Schizosaccharomyces pombe: one gene and its partners. The protein of the gene in region 2 purifies or fractionates together with the protein of the main gene of each other region. This does not show direct contact. Each region holds a gene or a part of one and is shown on either strand. Other genes may lie near its edges. The genes, in order: apc5, apc13 and apc14.

What was found.
Region 1: the proteins of apc13 (region 2) and apc5 purify together in Schizosaccharomyces pombe (affinity purification with mass spectrometry, with the first as the bait; one study listed by BioGRID). This does not show direct contact.
Region 3: the proteins of apc13 (region 2) and apc14 purify together in Schizosaccharomyces pombe (affinity purification with mass spectrometry, with the first as the bait; one study listed by BioGRID). This does not show direct contact.

What each region holds. Positions count from the first base shown.
Region 1 is NC_003424.3:3,400,478-3,405,995, forward strand, and holds apc5 (anaphase-promoting complex platform subcomplex scaffold TPR subunit Apc5), read right to left. Parts: upstream 3,666-5,518; 5' UTR 3,515-3,665; coding exon 3,314-3,514; exon of another isoform or gene 3,253-3,313; coding exon 3,148-3,252; exon of another isoform or gene 3,100-3,147; coding exon 2,763-3,099; intron 2,719-2,762; coding exon 2,659-2,718; intron 2,573-2,658; coding exon 2,479-2,572; intron 2,435-2,478; exon of another isoform or gene 2,429-2,434; coding exon 1,661-2,428; intron 1,611-1,660; coding exon 1,484-1,610; intron 1,450-1,483; exon of another isoform or gene 1,437-1,449; coding exon 1,341-1,436; exon of another isoform or gene 1,295-1,340; coding exon 994-1,294; exon of another isoform or gene 948-993; coding exon 802-947; 3' UTR 614-801; downstream 1-613. Other genes in the region: rpl2102 (60S ribosomal protein eL21), read left to right, coding at 65-547.
Region 2 is NC_003423.3:1,834,352-1,837,189, forward strand, and holds apc13 (anaphase-promoting complex TPR lobe accessory factor Apc13), read right to left. Parts: upstream 1,005-2,838; 5' UTR 945-1,004; coding exon 537-944; downstream 1-536. Other genes in the region: SPOM_SPBC9B6.11C (CCR4/nocturin family endoribonuclease), read right to left, coding at 1-98, 228-453; SPOM_SPBC28E12.02 (BICC1 family RNA-binding protein), read left to right, coding at 1,976-2,838. UniProt on the Schizosaccharomyces pombe protein: Component of the anaphase promoting complex/cyclosome (APC/C), a cell cycle-regulated E3 ubiquitin-protein ligase complex that controls progression through mitosis and the G1 phase of the cell cycle.
Region 3 is NC_003424.3:4,517,300-4,520,485, forward strand, and holds apc14 (anaphase-promoting complex subunit Apc14), read right to left. Parts: upstream 1,209-3,186; 5' UTR 998-1,208; coding exon 674-997; 3' UTR 534-673; downstream 1-533. Other genes in the region: omt2 (4-alpha-hydroxytetrahydrobiopterin dehydratase), read left to right, coding at 243-533; etf1 (electron transfer flavoprotein alpha subunit), read left to right, coding at 1,747-2,772. UniProt on the Schizosaccharomyces pombe protein: Component of the anaphase promoting complex/cyclosome (APC/C), a cell cycle-regulated E3 ubiquitin-protein ligase complex that controls progression through mitosis and the G1 phase of the cell cycle.

The DNA of each region.
Region 1 (5,518 bases), on a different chromosome or scaffold from region 2:
ACAAAGTTTCACCACAAACCATATGGAATTTCCGTGCGTACTTTGCCTTTAACCAGGAACAGCAATGCCTCATTCTTACGGTATCAGAGCTCGCACCCGTTACACCTTTCAACGTGGTTTCAGAGAGCATGGTCAAATTCGTTTGTCCACTTATTTGAAGACCTATAAGGTTGGTGACATTGTCGACATTAAGGTTAATGGTGCTGTCCAAAAGGGTATGCCTCACAAGTACTACCATGGCAAGACTGGTGTTGTTTACAACGTTACTCAATCTTCTGTTGGTGTCTTGATCTACAAGGTTGTTGGTAACCGCTACATGGAGAAGCGTGTCAATGTTCGTATTGAGCACGTTAAGCACTCTAAGTGCCGTCAAGACTTCTTGGACCGTGTTAAGGCCAATGAGGCTAAGCGTAAGGAGGCCAAGGCTCAGGGTAAGACTGTTCAACTTCGTCGTCAACCTGCTCCTCCTGCTACGGCTCATTTCGTTTCTACTGAGAATAACGAGCCCGTCACTCTCCACCCCGTCGCCTATGATACTACTATCTAGTTTTAAAAAAGAATGCTGTTCCTTTGGAGTTTATCAAATAATCAGACATTATTCGTAGTTTTAATTGTTGTATTTTTGTAAATGCATTTGTACATCGACTTAACAAAGTAGTATATTTATTGTGCTCGTATCCTCGTTTAGTATAAAATATATATATGTACATCTTAGTTAATCATGAGTATCCGTTGCTTAATTATATTTATTAGCTGATTTGTCGTTAAAAGTATGAAGGTATAATCGTATTTAAACGAGTGTTAGTTTAGCAAATTGTCGGAATAGAATCGAGAACAATATTGCTCAATGTTGGGCTGGAGTGCAGGATCATTAATTTGTCGTAAATATTGAATTTTCAGGCGGACAACAGTTTTTTGCATCTCTACCATGTAACAGGCCCGATAACCTATTTAATCATTAGAGATTGAACTCGAAAATCTTGATCAACTTACCATCAATAGCACTATCAAGCAACTGAATGACAAACATTCGTGAAGGCTGCAAAAGGTCAAGATGTTTAATCTGCAAAGAAGCAAATGCATGAAATGCTAATGCAAGTAATGGTTTGTTATCCGCTGCAATTATGTCAGGGATTAGTGAATCTAATAGATCGATAGCTGTAAAACAATCCAGTTCCCCAATCAAGCACAAAGTGCATAATCCTCTCAGAAGATACAATCTTAAATAGTTTGATGAGGCCATTTGAATTATTTCCAGCAATTCAAAAACAGCTCGATTTGACATTTCAGTCCTCTAAACACTCACATTAGCATAAGCCTAAAATCAGCCTTCACCTTACCATATAAATGTCAACCTTTAAAAACATCAACTGCAGCACCCATTCAATCGCCAGTTTTTCCGGTTCTTCCAATAATTTATCAATTCCTTCAATGGCCTAGTAACACGTTTAGTATATGTAGGTACGAATGTTTTGTTAATTACCTGACTTAAATTTCCCAAACTAATATCCAACCTTAAAGCGTAGAGTTGAGTTCGAAAAGTAGACATCTTGTCGTGTCTAAAGCCATTTAAATTTTTCAAATACAGGGTAGCATCCATATGATTTTTCCTTTTCAAAATTAGCAAATTTTCTGATTTTTGTAAACAATGATTTCTTACTCGTCAATCGCCTTAGATAAGTAGATAAATGTTTTTTCTCTGCCATATAAATGTGCGCATTGAAAAGAACGCTGTGATTGAACCTCAGCAGTCGACAAAATTGTAGCAACATCTAACCATCTTCCTAATTCAGCGTACCTCCATGCCTTAGTTATAAGACTTTGTAATAGGTCGAGTGCAGGAGAATCATGGACGTGATTTTTTTGATAGATCGAAATATAAGTCATGGAAAGGATAGAGCATCCTAAACGATACCAAATGCTTTGTAGCAAGTCCATATACCGAGGGAAACCATCGAATGATTCATTAGCACAAAACAAAGCAAATGCCTTAGTCAAATTAGAGAAAACGCCAATTAAACTAGATCCATCATCTAAAAATTTTTGGACCTGTAAGAGATGAACTGTCGTCTGTAATATAGGCAGTTGAGCTTTTTGACTATTACGCGCAAGATGTTCTAGTATTTGATCATCGTTTTCATTTTTTTCTGGAGAAGGATTCGAGTATTGTGACCGCTTAAACTCAAACATCCAGGCCAATGCAAAATTAAGACAAGCAGTATCGCCGCTTTCACGAGCAGTATTAATCGTATCTTCAATCGCATGAAGAGCTTCTTCATTACAGCCAAAATCGGCTTGAAGCATGGCAAGATTGAGGAGAGCGTACTGATAAGAAACCTTTTCATCAGAATGCATAATGTGATCAAAATATCTGCAAAGATTTTCCACGGATTGCTGATAATCACCACTAAACCAGGAATTTAAGAATCTTAGTATGTTAGTTAATTGCTAGCAGGAAAGATGTGCTTGGTATCTTACTTGCAATAATAGCTAGTATTTAGATTGTTTTCTTCAACTTCTAATAAATCATGCAATTTTTCTTTCATTTCCAATGGAAGAGCACATCCAAATTCTGCGTAAATCAGTTAATAAGTGCTTAGATAATATGCATTAAAAAGCTGTTAATATAATTGTTAAAAATTTTCCAATGAAACCTACTTTGCATGTGTTCAATTTGAACTTGAGTGAGTTGTTCAATATCCCGACTAGAACGAGAAACTAGAAAAGTTAGGAAAAATTAATTTCAAATTAACTAAACAAACCTGGTATACTTCCAAATGCCAACTGTAGTAGAGTCTTATTGCTAGCCAAATTCATTAACTCATGACGAACATTAATCTTACAGAATTCAATCCCCTCATGTTGAAAATCCATTGAGGGAGCTCTGTATTGAAGAAATGATTTAAAGAATTGAACCCCTTGTTCGAATGAAAACTGCTCGTATTCCACAACACACTTTCGAAGGAAAATAGATAAAAGTGAAGACGATGAAAAAAGCATATGGGGGGCCTCTTCTTCAGAATCGTAAACACCTTCTATGTAGTTTCCAAGAGAAATGAATATTTCATGAATATCTTCAAAAGAATGCAAGGACCATAGCTAAAACAAAGTTGTTAGAATACAATTTTTGATATGATTCTTTCATACACGTTCATGCAATAAACTGTAAACGCTATATTCTTCAATTGAACTGGGAAGGTGACTTGTTATGTCGTGAATTCGAGTCAGTGTTTGTGGTTGTGAGTCATTGGGCTAGAGATATACAGTTAGTACTCGAGATTAAGAGAATCTTGTTTCAGTCAGTTGTTCTTACATTAAAATATCCCAATACCAAATCTAGGAAGGGCACACAATGTTGAGGTTGAATGATGCGATGGGCATAAAGTTCAATAAGCAAACATAGCGTCAATTTATGTGGTGTCAAAAAGGTAGTATAAAAATTTTTTTTTGAAGAATTTGTTTTTAAAGGTATGGGAAATATTGGTGTTACCATTGACATCGCGGGACTCTGCATGGTTAAATAGGTAAGCAGTACACGATCGTCTCTCAATCCTATAATTTATAGCAATGCACCAAATTTTCTCAATCACAAACAGTTCGAATGTTCTATGTACCAAATAAAACCTCTTTATCGAAGAAGGCTGGAACAGTAATATGTAAATGGCATGTATACGTTCAGAAGTGCGATGGTTGAGTATTATGGTAAGTAGTCTTATGTTTACAAGATATGCTAACTATTCAAGCATTTAAATCTCTAGAAGTAAACGTAAAAATTTAATATTTTTTCAAGAATGATATATTTTCTCGGATATTTATTTCTTTCAATTTGTGTTGCTCCTATGTTCTTCAGTGATATTTGTCAACAATACGCATAAACATATGAACTTACCGAAATTGTGAATGATATATAAACTACCTCAATATAGTTAATAATCATAATCATCAATATTTTTATTTTATTTAAGCATCATTTTTACAGCTTTATCCACGATTGAAAGTGGTCTTCATAAATGTTCGTAAACAAAAATAAACAAACGGACAAAAATAATAATAAAAAGCTTGAGATATCAAATTTTATAAGAGATTTTCTTTATTCTTTATTTTCTCCTTGTCATCTTTATTGTTTCTATAGTTCTTTTTTTTTTTTTTTTTCGCAGGCACACACAAAAAATTTATTTACTATTGGGTTAAATTGAGTAATAATCATATGAAAAGTTTTATTTAAAAATCACTCACGTCTCTATAAACTCATGTTTTGTTTGGGTATTAATTGTGAACTGTGAAGCATTAATTTCAAAAGATATTCATTATGATGCATTTTAAAAATATCATCAATGCTTAAAATAATGCTATTTAAATAAATCCAATAAAATCGATTAACCTTTACCTTTTAAAAGTGCATATTTTTATTTATATGGTTTTTTAAAAATATGCATAAGTAGGCATAGAATTCGGGTGTCATAGCTGATAGTAATAGAGTAATTGATTGAAATGATGAAATATTGCTTTTATTCTTTTTTTTTTTTTTTTTTTTTTTAATATACACAAAGCCCTTTTAACATTTTGACAATTATCAAATTGATTTGCTGACCAACATTTAATGACAGAAAGGTAAATAAATAAATTTTGGGAAGAAAAAGAAAGCACCATTTCAGTTGTAGTAGACTTTCGTTTTGTATTACCTAAACGAATGCAATAAAACTAGCTCTCGAAGTTTGTGAATAAGAAATGTTAATTGGGTTATATTTGTCTATAAGTAAGGTAAGTTAAATTCAAAATTGGAAATCAAAGAAATACACAATCGAAGTATGGTTAATCTCTAACGTATACTCTAAATGCACTAAAGTCCCTATTGTAAATTAAATGCTAGGCATTTTGATCAAGTAAGCGAACGATCGAAGGAAAAAGGATAATCATACAAGCGTGCAAGTTCAAATGATGTCTAAGCTACGCTTAATTCTATTCATTTTTTAAATTTATTAAAATATTAGCTAAAGTTTTTCTACTAATTCATCTTACCCCTCTACACAACGCTTGGGTTAAACAGTTAAATCTTCGACAGGAAGCCTCGCTCATGAAAAGCACTTTCAACTTGAAATGTGGACATCCACGTGGGGATATCAATAATAAAAGTCAGTTTTAACAACATTCATTAATATTTTTCTATTACACAAGTAAATCGTAAGCACTCGCTTACTTGTAAAATTTTGAAACCAAACTTCTTTTTCCGTAGAGAAAAAGTTCTGCACGTTTCCTGAAACCATGAATGCAGCTATCCGTTCCCCTTCAAAATCATTATCGCTGTCGGGAATTTGTCAATATGCTGGTTAATAGATCCCCCTTCGTAGCCGGATATAAAAAGCGATTTGAACTCTTTCAATTTGGCAGCGTATTACCGGATTGAGGGATCCGAGGACTTAGCGAATTCATGTATATATAAAAGAAGGGTTCCTAGTCAAATTTTATTTTAGAAGTTAATGCAATTTCTTGTTATTTTCAGTATCATATAATAATAAAG
Region 2 (2,838 bases):
ATTAGGGATGGAGAGCATTTCACGCTTTATAAAGTCCGTATTGAATTCGGGTGGAGCATTGCTTGGTGGAGCAATAGGTTTTCGAGCAGCCTTCTTAGCTAATAATCAGTTAATAAAATTGAGCAACAAAAAATTAAACAAAGGAGTAGAGATTCGGTCTTAAAAAAAGTTTCACAACAACCTTCTTATTGTTGCTCGACTAGATGAACGAAAATTTTTTTTCATACCCATTTTCTCAAGTTTTTTTTGGCGTTGTTTCTCTATGTATTCAGGCGTTACGAACGAAGGAGGGCCTTTAGCTGAGCCTTTTTTCTTAACGGGTATCGAATCTGCCATCTTGTTCTTTTTCTGATCAAAGAATGATATAGCAAGTTTGGATAATCTATAATCAGTGTGGAATCGATCGATAAAAAACTTCAAAGTCAATGTACACGTTTTAGGACAAGTGTACATACAATGACTTTTGAGTAGACTTTATTTAAGTTTTCACAGCCGAAATGGATTAACGACTGTTGGTTCGTACAACCTCAGGTATATCATCTAAAATACCGCATACTAGCGTGCTCTCCTTGATGCCTTCTGTTCGCTTCAAGAAAAGGAGCCATTGGAGCTTCTTTGACTGATTTGAAAGGATCTGTTTCAAAATTATCTTCAATTGTATTTTTACCCTCGGCATTTGAAGAGCCTTGAATGAATGCAAAGGCATTAACTAAATCTTCGAGTTCCAAATCTTTCCAAGCCGGTTCATGCCTAAGCTGTTTGTTTTTCATTAAGATTAGATTTGCACTAGAATGTTGAATAGTCATCTCATCTTCTGTAACAGGTGGTAAGTGTTCTACTCGCACTTCGACATCGTCAACTGGAAGTCTATCTTTTAGCCAATCCGAGGCAAACAAAACTACTCCCGGTTTATTCATATGAACATAATTGTAATTCGAATCCATTAATTGTTTTACTGATTCCAAGTAGGAGACTTATGGTGCTTTTATACGGTTGGTGTTATTGGAGAAGTCGGTGGTAAGTGTGTAAACAAAGCATTTAGCAGCAAAGTCTACTAGTTGGGGGGAGGGAGATCTTTCCATGAAAATCAATTATAAGAATTCTAGATTAATTTCTTATTCACATAATTCTATGAACTTTTAAGTAGAAATAAAAATCAGTTAGGTGGTTTGCTACTATTCTTCTCAAAACCTTCGTCTCTTAATCTATTTATTCCTATTGGCATGTTATTTTTCTTGATAAATAAGGTAAATATATGTGCTTGCTTAGCTTACAAATTTCAAAGAATGACACTAATAGTGCAATGTTTTACTTAAGCTATGATTGTGTCCAAAACCCTAGCAATACTGACAGAGTTATAATGAAAAATTAAGCGTATATTTCACAATCATATAATCATATTCCCCCTTTTCTGAAAAAATGTCAATGGCAAATCATATACTGTTTTGAGTTAAAGAGGCTTTGGCAGATCATAAATCAGCCATCCTAATTAGTAAAAAGAATACAAAATTGTGATGGTTATGTTAAAAGTATTCCTAGTCATTAGTGCATCACCTTAGAGTCATGTGCTGTATATATATATGTGTCTACCTTTGCATAAACAAACTTGTATTCCACAGTCAAACTAGTACAATACACATCGTTCTGCGAAAACGTTCTGTTTATTTTTCAGCAAAAAATTAAAGTTTAAGCTATCATTCATTGCCAATCGCATATCAATTCCAAGATTTATTCATTGTTTATTTACATTTGGAAGCTAAACAATAACTTTCACGGAAGCAACAACACAACCAACAACCAACCCTTCAGAAGTAACTTTCGGAATAATTTTGTATTCAAACCTATATCGTTTATCATTCCTTTGGATTTCTTTTAATCTTTCTTTCGAACACGAAAAACTTACTCTTCACTAAGCTTCGAAATTTCCAATCAAACGATTTAACAATAAGAAAATTTTGTGCTTAAAATCACCAAAATGGATTCTCATGTTTTAGCATTTCCAATTCCTGATCCATCTACACCTCCTCCCGAAGAGGCATCCCTTTATGCTAGTAAATGTGACTATTATGAAAGCGATATTTACTCTCAAATTAGGAGATTAACCGAAGAAAAGTGCATTGAGACAGAAAAAGAGTTGCCAGTTAATATAAAACTACATGTCAAACATAAAGGAATGAGCATATCATCTTCCCGCAATGAACTAGTGGTTACTGTTTCAGGAAATTATAAAAATGTGTACACTGCAAAAATAAAGATTTTGCAAGCCATTCCCAAAATTCTAATCAGCAAACTTGTGCTCGAAGAACCCCTCGAAAACCTCCTTTTTGATGAAGATGGGTACGTTTATGAAGACACTATGAAACATTTGGACAAAATAACGGAAATAACGGGAGCAAAAATTTATATCATGCATCGTTCCATGTGTCATGATATCGATTTTCAGCTACGTACTGACAGCGGATTCAGCAATCGATTAAATGAACAACAAAGCTTCTACCAAAGGCATTTAGAGTCTACTAGGCATGAATTTTCATGTCAAAAGAACGCAGAGAATTCTTTTTTTATTGTCTTTTATGGTGACTATTGCAGCGTTGAACATGCTAGAATTCGCGTATTAGCATTAATGGATGAAATCAGAGGATTATCGGTAGTAGCTATTGCAACTTCTGTATCTTTTCAGCCAATTCTCGTTGGAAAAGCATTTTCTAGTACTGCCGGAATGAAGGCTACTGAATCAATTAATATTTATACATTACCGTTTTGCAGCGACTCAATCCCTCGGCTTCAAACCTTACCCGCCTTAAACTCAAGTAAAATAATTATTACAGGAGAAGAGGA
Region 3 (3,186 bases), on a different chromosome or scaffold from region 2:
ATATAATTCTAATGCTCCTCTGTAGAAGAGGTTCTTTTAGCGTAGTAGCTAAATTTACTCTTTTGATGTTGTGAATAAGACAAGACGATATGATTTCGTTCTCTTTCACATACCAAAGTAAAAGGAGGTAAATTGAGTGTATTAAAACAGTTACGTTCTACACACATCACATTGATATTTTACCTAAATTTTGAAGAAAAACATTTTTTCTGGAATAAACGTTGGTTTAGAAGGTTGAAAAAATGAACACATCAGCTAGATTACTGGCGTTAGTCTCGAAATCAAAAAACAACTGGATTCTTCAACAAGGAGATACAAAACTATTTAAAAGCTTTCGTTTTAAAAACTTCATTGAAGCTTGGGGATTTATGAGCTGTGTCGCATTGCGTGCACAACAGCTAAATCATCATCCCGAATGGACTAATGTATACAATAAAGTGGATATTACGTTGACAACTCACGATACAAAGGGACTTACAGAAAAAGATTTAAAGCTGGCAGAATTTATTGATACACTTGCAAAGGATAACTGAAAGCTGCAACCAAGAGGGTAGTAGCGGAAAACTATCTTGAGACACAGATTGCCAGAAATTATTCTTAATATTTTGAATTAATTTAGTGTTTAGTGATGTGGTGTTTGAAAGGATAAGAATTTATATCATAAACTCATTAATCACCATTCAGCCAACTGGTCAAGTTGTTGAACATGTTTTGTCAGATGCTGCATAATAGCTTGCCTGTATTCTGGAATAGAACTTCTGCTGGAAGCAATTCTGGATATTGCAATTCTACTTGCCCTTTCATTTCTTTCTTGCTCGGCCTCTTCACCACCTATAACATCTCGATAATTCCAAAATTCAATGGCTTTTGAAGCTTCAGGGAGTAGAAGTGGTTTCTTGGCGAGAGGTTTTGGGTTGCCAGACATGGAGAGTCTTTGAAAGACGTTTCCAAAAGTTCGATAACTTTTGGACTGACCAGTACCAGCAAACGGATCCATATGACCTCGAAACGTTTTAATATACAAAAGTAAAAAAAACCCCCGTGAGTACTAAGAGACAATGACTTCAATCATTGATTTGTTCTTCTTTAAAAGAGAACCGTTTAAATATGAAAATTGTAATCTCTTTTGTATTTAAGCAGTAAGTGAAGAGGTTTGGACAAGTGATTAGGAAATTTCACCGATTTTCTTGTTTATTTACTATCTTGTGTGCGTAGTTGAACAAAACTCCTTGCCATCGTTAGAAAGCAATGCTTGTGGTATAAGAATGTGGAGTGTGTTATTAAAATAAAATAGTGAAGTCACCTTTTGTCTCCTAATATCTTAGTGAACTTTAACGTTGATGAACGATTCAATAACTGTAATGCTAAGAAGGATACATTGAGTTTCTCATATTTTTTTTTATTTGAAAAGAATTTTCATTATTATTATTTTTAATGATGCACCTAGTTATTGCAATCGCTATAGACTTTAAACTTTGTATTGAAAGAATTTGTCAAAATATTGGCAGTTGGTTATCAAAAAAAATAAATGTAAGGTATATGAAAATTAGGATGTTTTCATACTCACGAAAAATCATTTCTGGTAGATAAATCACTTAAATATATCACGATTACTTATTTTTAGTTATTTTACCTTTGAAATGTAAGACTGTATTACTTAAGTTTTTTCTTAGTATAATATGTGAACATACATATTGTCAGCGTACATCCTCATTCACCCTCAAACCTACAACGAAGTATTCTAACATGCTAAGGACTACTAGCCGGACATTTTCTAGGGCTTTGTCTTCTTCTAACTTTAAAATAAATTGTGGAAGAAGGCATTGGTTTAGTGTTTTGACGTTGCTTGAGCATCAGGGAGGGAACTTGTCTCCAGCATCCTTGTCAGCAGTAGAAGCAGCAAAGCGTACCGGTGGGGATGTTTTTGGATTTGTAATCGGTAAGGATTCTTCTCAAATTTCTCAAAAGGTAGCAAAATCGGTGAACGATTTGAAAAAGGTTATCTACGTTGAGAATCCGTCATATGAGCATAACATTCCCGATCAAATAGCCAATGTTCTTTTTGAAAATGTTAAGAAAAATGAAATTAGTCATGTTTTTTCTGCTCATTCAACTGTTGGTAAAGGGGTGATGCCTCGTTTGGCTGCTATGTTTGATGTGATGCAGATTAGTGACATTATTGGTGTGGTTTCTGCTGACACATTCGTTCGTCCGACATACGCGGGAAACGTAAACGTTACTGTGTCTACAAAGGATCCTATTAAAATCGTCACCGTTCGTGCATCTGCATTTGACGCCGCTCCTTCAAGTGGTGAAGGAGCAGCCACTGTTGTTGAAGGTATTGATCCAAAACCAGCTGCTCTACAAGAATGGGTTAGTGAGAATATTATAAAGAATGCTAGGCCTGATTTGTCTTCTGCCGAAAGAGTTGTTGCTGGTGGTCGACCTTTGAAAGACAAAGAGACATTTGAACGCATCCTTACACCTTTGGCTGACAAATTGGGTGCAGCAATTGGTGCTACACGTGTTGCCGTGGATTCTGGCTATGCTGATAATTCTTTACAAATAGGTCAAACTGGAAAAATCATCGCCCCAAAGCTTTATATTGCTGTTGGAATTGATGGTGCTATTCAGCATCTTGCCGGAATCAAAGATAGCAAAGTCATTGCTGCTATAAATCGCGATGAAAATGCTCCTATCTTTCAAACAGCAGATGTGGGAATTGTAGGTGACTTATTTGAAATCGTCCCGGAGCTTACTGAAAAACTTTGAAAATCATGTTGAGGAATGATTCCTTATTTTTCATAATATCACATTTATTTCAAATTTCACATCTTTTTAGAAGTTAATAAAATACACGTTTATTTAACTGGGTACTCGTAATAAATTAAGGAAATTTTTGATGTAATATTTAATTATATACCAGTGAAACAACTCTGAAGTCGTTTTATACATACATTTATGAAGCCACCTCAGCAAAGCTATCGTAGGTTGATTATCAAACATTTCAACGTATGAGAAAGAAAGGGATTTTTTTAGCGGTCTAGATATTTAACCAGAGATAAATGATAGAAACATGGAAAACATAGAATACGCATACACTCTCAGCAATACTTCAATGTCATCACAAAGCAAATCTATTAAAAGAAAATAAAATGCAAAGGCCGATTGATATTGCCAATAATT